Linked DNA regions of Coturnix japonica. The protein of the gene in region 2 purifies or fractionates together with the protein of the main gene of each other region. This does not show direct contact. Links are inferred from orthologs where the notes say so. Each region holds a gene or a part of one and is shown on either strand. Other genes may lie near its edges.

Evidence for each region.
Region 1: the proteins of ASXL1 (region 2) and OGT purify together in Homo sapiens (affinity purification with mass spectrometry; 3 studies listed by BioGRID and IntAct, with this or other methods). This does not show direct contact. The link is inferred for Coturnix japonica from reciprocal best matches to the Homo sapiens genes ASXL1 and OGT.

The regions. Positions count from the first base shown.
Region 1 is NC_029519.1:2,145,790-2,149,606, forward strand, and holds part of OGT (UDP-N-acetylglucosamine--peptide N-acetylglucosaminyltransferase 110 kDa subunit), read right to left. Parts: intron 2,554-3,817; coding exon 2,401-2,553; intron 2,071-2,400; coding exon 1,818-2,070; intron 1,659-1,817; coding exon 1,535-1,658; intron 988-1,534; coding exon 813-987; 3' UTR 1-812. UniProt on the Homo sapiens protein: Catalyzes the transfer of a single N-acetylglucosamine from UDP-GlcNAc to a serine or threonine residue in cytoplasmic and nuclear proteins resulting in their modification with a beta-linked N-acetylglucosamine (O-GlcNAc).
Region 2 is NC_029535.1:8,887,873-8,891,689, forward strand, and holds part of ASXL1 (polycomb group protein ASXL1), read right to left. Parts: intron 3,451-3,817; coding exon 3,368-3,450; intron 1,412-3,367; coding exon 1,303-1,411; intron 242-1,302; coding exon 1-241.

The DNA.
Region 1 (3,817 bases), on a different chromosome or scaffold from region 2:
CTGCGCCCTCTATACACCATTGCCACCCATTTGTGAAACGTATTTGGCACCAGTTTGTGGGTTTTTTTTTTTCCTTTTCCTCAAACGCTTTTGGGGGAGGATTCGTTTTCCGATCAAATTTGGTTTTCTAACAGAATAGGAGCTGCCATCGTGATGCCAATCAGCTGTTATTGGAGAAGCTTAAAAACAAAAACGGAACAAAAAAAGTCCTTATCTAAACCAACACGTTACAGAGCTCCAAAACAGAGGTCAAACATTAAAAGGCTGATATAGGCTCGAGTGGTTTATAAAACCTATAAAAAAAGACTACACCAGCAAATATGCCCTTCAGTCCGCACAGTCTAGAAATGAATGCAGGGAGCAACACTCGCTAGCTGGAAATCTTGCCATGGGAGAAGCACACGTATACCACCAGGAGTACCCCAAATCAATCGTTAAGAGGCTCCAATTCCCAATCTATAAGGAGACAAACGCGTCAGAAGATTGCATCAAATCCAAGGGATCGTAATTGGTTGGGCAGTTCAAACTTCCCCCACCAACCTCTCCTCTCACACATAGAGGCTCACATGTACACGGCTCAATCCCGTTCCAATTCCTCATGGAATAAAAGGATCCCAGGCTCTATAGAGTCTTCCCCTATCATGCAAGAAATACGGTCCGGCTGTGCTCTAATTACCATCGTGTATCATTTCAGCCACAGAGTACCAGGCAGATTAAGTAGAAATGCACAGTTTTTAGCTCATCGTCTCTGCACAAGTGTTAGAGAGGCTGAGTTCCTGGACAGGTCTGGCTGGGCACACAGACAAGTCTCTTCATGCAGATTCACTGGTTTCCACTGGCTTGATCATGTGGTCCGGTTTGTTGCCAGCAGCATAGTGATCCCACATCTGAAGGTAAAGCCTCTCCAGGTCCATGGTGTACTGCTTGGTGTTGAACAAAGGGCTGGATATTCTCTGCTTCCAGACTTTGCCACGTATTTTTTTCAGGCTGCAAAAATAAGTTGAAGGCAGTCACAAACGCTTCCCAACACTTCTCAGTGCTGTTTGCTTTTAAAATGGGTTTCAGCAGACCCAGAACTGCCAGTACAAAAACGGCAACTTCCACACCAAGTTCATGTGGCTGTTTCACTCCCTCTTCGTTTCTGATACAACCAGCATTATCTCAGCAGAACAGCTGTGACATTCAGTTGTCACATGAACTATTCTGCTCTGTATTACTGCACAGTTTTAACCTACAACTGTTTCAAATTCAACCTACAAGAACTAAAAGTGAAATATGGTGCAGTTTTTAATCAGACAAGAGCCTGTACTTGAGCAATTCCTTCACAACAGCAGCCACGTTACTGGAGCCCTGTTACATTTACTGCAAAAACAGAAGCAGAGTTAACTGCAAGACTCTACAACACCTCAAGATGAGAACTGTCCTATTTCCAACATTAGGCTAATACGCACAACTACTGATAAACTCAACACTGTGACCCACCACAGCACTTTCATTCTTGATCTAACAAGCTACAAAGTGCAAGTTTACTTACTATTCCAGATCAGTTCCCAGTTTCACAGCAATATCCTCATATTCCTGCCTACTTTTTGCAATAAGCTCAAGACAACCAAGGCAAGTAAGCTGGGAGGCAGCGACTCGTGACGCAAGCGTTTCACCTGTAAAGGCACACAAATAGGAGTTACCAAGTAACACGCTACAGAGTGCAGACCTGTTTCTCTAGAGGAAATGAGGAAGTCTGCCAGACCCACTCCCTGTTATGGTTACAATAACGGTATCAAATTCACCCACTCCATCCAGGTTTCCCACAGCGTTACCTGGCATGGTGACCATAGGAGTCCCAGCCCAGAGCACATCCATCCCCGTCGTGTGCCCATTGCACAGTGGAGTATCTAGACAAACATCAGCCAGCTGCCCTCTCCTCACATGCTCTTCCTTGGGGGCAACAGGAGAAAAGATGATTCTGTTCTGGGAAAGACCCAGGTTTTGGGCATACTGCTGAATATTGGGCTCTCCTACGGCTGGGAAACGCAGCAGCCACAACACACTGTTTGGAACTCTTTTTAGGATCTGTAACAAAAAATCAAGACAAAAACAGTTACGTTAGAAAGCTTTCCTTATTTGGATAACAAGAGGTCATGATGTAACAAGATGAAGTTAAAAGCGTTCGTCACTCAGTACTTTCTCTCTTGGAGCACAGAGCAAAAAACAAGACCACAATAGTACTGAATTCCTAATGCTGCTGAAAAAGAAACAATTCTGAGCGAGTATGGAGCAGCACTTGAAAAGTAAGTCTTGAAATCCACGATCTCATTCATTCACTGCAACGCACTTCTGAATAAATTAATACCACTGTAGACCAGAGGTTCGATCTTAGTTTCCAGATCCACAGATACTCACATTAGCCCACATCTGCAGCGTGGAAGGGTCAATCTTATAGAGTTGATTGAAGTTGCAGTATACAACAGCATCTTCTGGTAAGCCATACTGAGAACGGGTGGTAACAATGATGGTTCGTGGAACTTCTTCTCCAGTTGCTGCTTTGTTGTTAATCTAAATAAAGAAAAAAAAAAATAAAGCCATTGGAATGCTGAAAATAAAGAAAACGTGCTTATGCCCTATGGAACATTCCTGACATACATACTGCAACACGTGCTGGCATCAGAAGTTACTCAAAGCTTATCTTTCACTTCTTATACAAAGACTACATTGTCTACTTACCCAGAACAAGAATTTAAGTGGTGTGTGTACATGCTTGTGGATACCACGATGCTACAACCACCAAGGAACAAAACACTGGGCATTTTCATGCCCTGGCTACGTCTCCCTGCAATTCCAGGTCATTAGAAAGAAGAGGCATTTAAGGAGCACTCCCCTCCTTAAGGTCACCTCACTGCCTCGAAACTAAAAATGAGAGCAAGGCTTGAAGGAAGAAGAGAACAGTATTTAGAAAGCAAAGGGATTTCTTTTTGTTTGTTTTGGGGGTTGGGGTGGATGGGTTTTTTCTTTTAGTATTCTTAGTCTTGAGGATTAGTAAAATGGAAGTATAATTCAAAGTCAGAATGACGGACTTTTGTAGGCTATTTTCTGTTTGTTTTTAAGCAATAGGCAATGGTCAGAAGGAAACGTCCTTACAGATATGGCAAAACAGGTACTTACAGCCTCTGTCTGTTTTAAATTTAATGTTTTACATACATATATATATATATATATATTTAAAGTTTATCTCACTGCCACTGCTGCCAGCCAAAATAAATGTACTGTTGACAAACTTGACATTCATGGGAATGACTCACTGTCACTGACTCTGTTAGAACATGGAGCCAGTATGTTGAAACTGTAAAGACATGAAGATAAACAAGATAATTTAGTTCAAAAGAAATAGGTAAGAGTGCTACTGACCCATAACACCAAAAACCTCAACCACAATGCACATTAATAGTACCAATACCCCACATTACAACACATACAAAGAAGGGTTATCTTAGTATGATCAAAAGAGGTCAAAATCTCACAAGAGATCAAACCACATTTTAAAAGGGCACCAATGCAGCTTAGATTGGTTCTCTTGGTGGTGGAGTGATTAAGACAAGAAACTCCCTGCTATTTCAGGGCACAGCATTTCCAGGAAAGAAAGCCAATAAGATTACTGATCAAACTAAGATGAAGCCTATTGCCAACTCAGAAGGAAGTCTAAGCTGGGCACCAAAAAATTCATTAAAAGAAACCAAAGCATGAGGTTATGGATAGAGCAGTAATAATAAAAAGGTCTCCAGTGATAAAAAATAGTCCCCTAGAAATTCATAGGGAAGTTCCA
Region 2 (3,817 bases):
ATTCGGTGGAACAGGAGGCGTTAGAGGAGGTTTCATCAAGAGACACTGAAACAGACGTGCCCTCAGTCAGACATAGAAGTAGATACTTGTAGCTCAAGATGAATGTTATTAGACACTTACCATCATTATCACCACTCACAGTGCTTGTTTCGTTGGACTCACAGCTTTCTGCATCTGCTGTATCCTCCAGTTCATCCCCTTCTGGCACAGACAGGTTCCGAGACCACTGCAGGGCATCCTTCTAAATGGACAAACAAAACTCAGGTGGCTGCAGTCCTCCTCCCAGTCCCCACCGTTTAAACCAAGGGAGCTGTTGGTTTCACAGATACACGTTTTATTTTAATCTCCTCCCTGTTTTAACTCTTTTGATGCAGAAGGATATTCCTAAGAATGTTTAGGCTCCTACTGGAGCAGAAGTCATGTGAACCACTAGCACACTTTAAAGATATTTCCAAGATGAATAACTCAGATATATCTGAAGTACATATTAGTGACTTTATACCATTCCTGGGAATCAAGCAAGCAGTTTCTAAGGAAGAGAAATATCTCAATCTTCATATCTCATCCTTACCAGTTAAAGAACAGGCATCACTCAAGAAGCCAGCTACTAGGATAGCAAGCCTGGGAGATGCATTTACTAACTGTGCAACCAAAACCATCTCAATTCCTTCTGTTTTCCTCCCCCAAAGTGTGACAATTTAACCAAATTTTCTGATGGTGGTAAAAGAGTTGCAAATGGAGTAATAGACAAGATATCAGTTGTCTATAAAGCTGATCTTTAACAGGGAATCCAACAGTACAAAATAACACCAACGAAAAGCCTGAGGCATTTTCAACACTGAAGATTACTGGGATAAAAGGCTAAAATAAAACATTTCAGAGAGAACTCTGAATGAGAATATATTTTGCTATCAAGATTTTACTTGTAGCTACAAGCTCTCAGACCAACATGATTTGCTGGTTGGCCACGTTCCTTTGTGGCTCTTGATGAGTGAAACAGGACTATTTTGGTTATCAACACCTGAGTTGAAAACAGAAAACTGGAGTAAGGATTTATCTTGCTTGTGTAATTCATTAAATAATAGGTGGGGTTGAAAGGAATGTACCACATATGGATGAATATAGCAGAAAGGTACAAAAGCTACGATGAAATAATGAATTCCAGACACACTTTCACATGATGATCTCACACGCAGCACACTCAGCTCCTATGATGCTCAGCGACAGTTTAACACTCAGCTATGCATAACAAGCAGAACTCACAGCTCGGCATTCAACCAAGAGCAAAGACTCAATATTTACCTTCAGTGTGAACAGGCTGATCCGTCCGGGCAGTTTGTAGAAGAGCCCATCGCCCCCCCTGGAATTGGAATGGAGCATGGCGTTGAGGCAGGCCAGGGGAGAGGTGCCACTGAAAAACAGGAGGGCACAAAAGGGACTCGGTCATTTCCAGAAACGGCCTTATCAAGAAAACAGCCCAAAATGAAAGACCTGTTTAAATCAGCATCAGTTGCTGACGGAGGGAAACAAAGATGAGACTCATTATCTTTATGGGACAGGCACTTCAGTAAGAATAGTATTACTGTTTCCCATTCTGACCTGTACGTTTGCCTCAACACATCACAGCAAAGCAATCTGCAGAGAACAGGAAACGTTAGGCTCATTTTGAAGTTACTCTTGGTCATTTTTAGTTATTTCTTTCATCACACGTTTCCTCCCTTACTCCGCTTGTAATTGTCAGACTTGGATTGATTCTACTAAAAACCAGATTTAGTCAGCAGCAGCAAAACGAAAACAGAAACAGCAAAAATGGTGCACATACGTAGTTCTGGAATGTCTCCCCTGACAGAACTCTGTACTGGCAGAGCTGGATGTAAAAGGTCTGATGAACCCACTTGACAAGCCCTTTGCAATGCCCCAGTTTTGCCATTCATGACCAAAGCAACCATCCTACGCACACAGCAATGGAACTTCCATGCCGTGTAACCTCATGTTTTCCAGTAAGTCACACAGGGGCACGCAGAAAGCTACCTGAAAGAGACATTAAAGCAGCCCTGTTTTCACCGTTATTAAAAGCAAAACTGAAAACTGGATGGAGACAAAAAGATATCAAAGAAAGTCATCCTCATACTGAAAACTGAGCTCAGAATCATTGCTATTTCCACTCTCAGTGCATTTGGGTTTTGGGCGTTGATTCACAAGCCTCAGCAGCAGACGAAAATCACCCTCAATCATTTTTAGATACCATGAAAAAAACCTCCCAGCCTTCTGGCCTGTCAGACAGTGCTTTCCATTTGGTACTCAGCAGAACATTTCAAGTAAGCCAGCCAGCCACATTTCTTGAAATGGCAAAAAAAAACAACCCACCAAAACAAAAAAAAAAAAAACAACAGAAAAAACAGATTCTTTTTTATTTTTTTTTTCCCCAAAAGGAGGGAAAAACAAATAGAACTTTTCCAGGAGGAAGATCTTGGCTCTTGCTGGGTGCTGACATCCCAGCTTAGCCCAGAGCCCATAGGGCCGCTAAGGAATGGGTCCTTCCAACAGGTTGGGGTCACCCCCAGACCACGACAGCACAGCCTCAGTATTGATTCAAAGGGAAAACCCCCTCCTGAGTCGCTAAGCCTTTTCCTTCAGGAAATGCATTTTCAGGAAGGGCTTCTATTCATGTAGCAGGAAAGCCTGCTGCATATTTAGCTAGACAGGATCACTGCCTGTGTCCTGTGAACAATTACACTGGGAAGAAAACAGGCTTTTCTTACAGCAGAGAGTTAACAAGGGGAAGGAAAAGCAGACACCCCAAAGGAAATCCACTGACAGCCAGATGAGCGATGAAGAGGACATATCATCTGTACAATGTCAAGAGCCACGACTACATAAACAGTGCTTTCACAGAGCTCAAAAGCACTAGAAGTGCCAGCAGAGCACTGTAAGATACAGCGATACCCTTCTGAGTCTTCTAAAATGTCCTAAAATGTAACGTCTGCTCTAGAAGTGAAGCATCAGAGGAGACAGAACTGAAAATATTACCAAACTAAGCCCAGTAGTAGAAGGCACCAGGAGCTACTTATGAGATAAGTATGCAGGTAAACAGTAAATCAGTGCAGTCTGATCAGCAACAGGCACTCATTCTGTAATAGATGGATGAAGGGAACTCTGTAGGTTACCAAAAAAATCCAAGGAAAAAAAAAAAACCACAGTATTATAAATAATTGTATTGTCAACTGAAATCACCATGCTGGAAAGGGAAAAAAGGAAGCAGGAAAGCAGGCTGGGGATGAGGCAGAGTCACACAGAACGGCTCAGGCCTTCTATGCAGCCTGCTCCATGAACATGCCGGGTTTTACATGAGATCATCAATACTAACCTCATTTCCTTCAGTCCTTCAGCCTCTATGACCTGCAGAATCTGCTTTGGAGTCATGGGAGCATCTGAGTAGTTTTCCAGCACCTGAAAAGACAGAAACCCCAGGTGTCATCACAAGCTTGTATCTATGTTCACAGAACTGCTCAATACGCCAGAGTTCAGAGCCAGAAATACACCTCTTAGAGCTTTATTTATCTACAGAGGTGCTAAAAATTTCAGGTACTTCAACATCATAGTAAGCAGAACAAAAGCCTTGACTCCACCACATGAAAAGCCAGGGGGAGCTTCACTAGACTCCAACATGCAATATCAATTTGCTACCAAACAGCCTTTAAAACTGTACAGCATAGTAGTTAGAGACCTTTAGTGATGTAAAATGTTCTCCCAACCATATGCCTTTCTACCTCCCAATAAGGAATCCAGCATTTTTCTGGCAATAAAAATATTACTG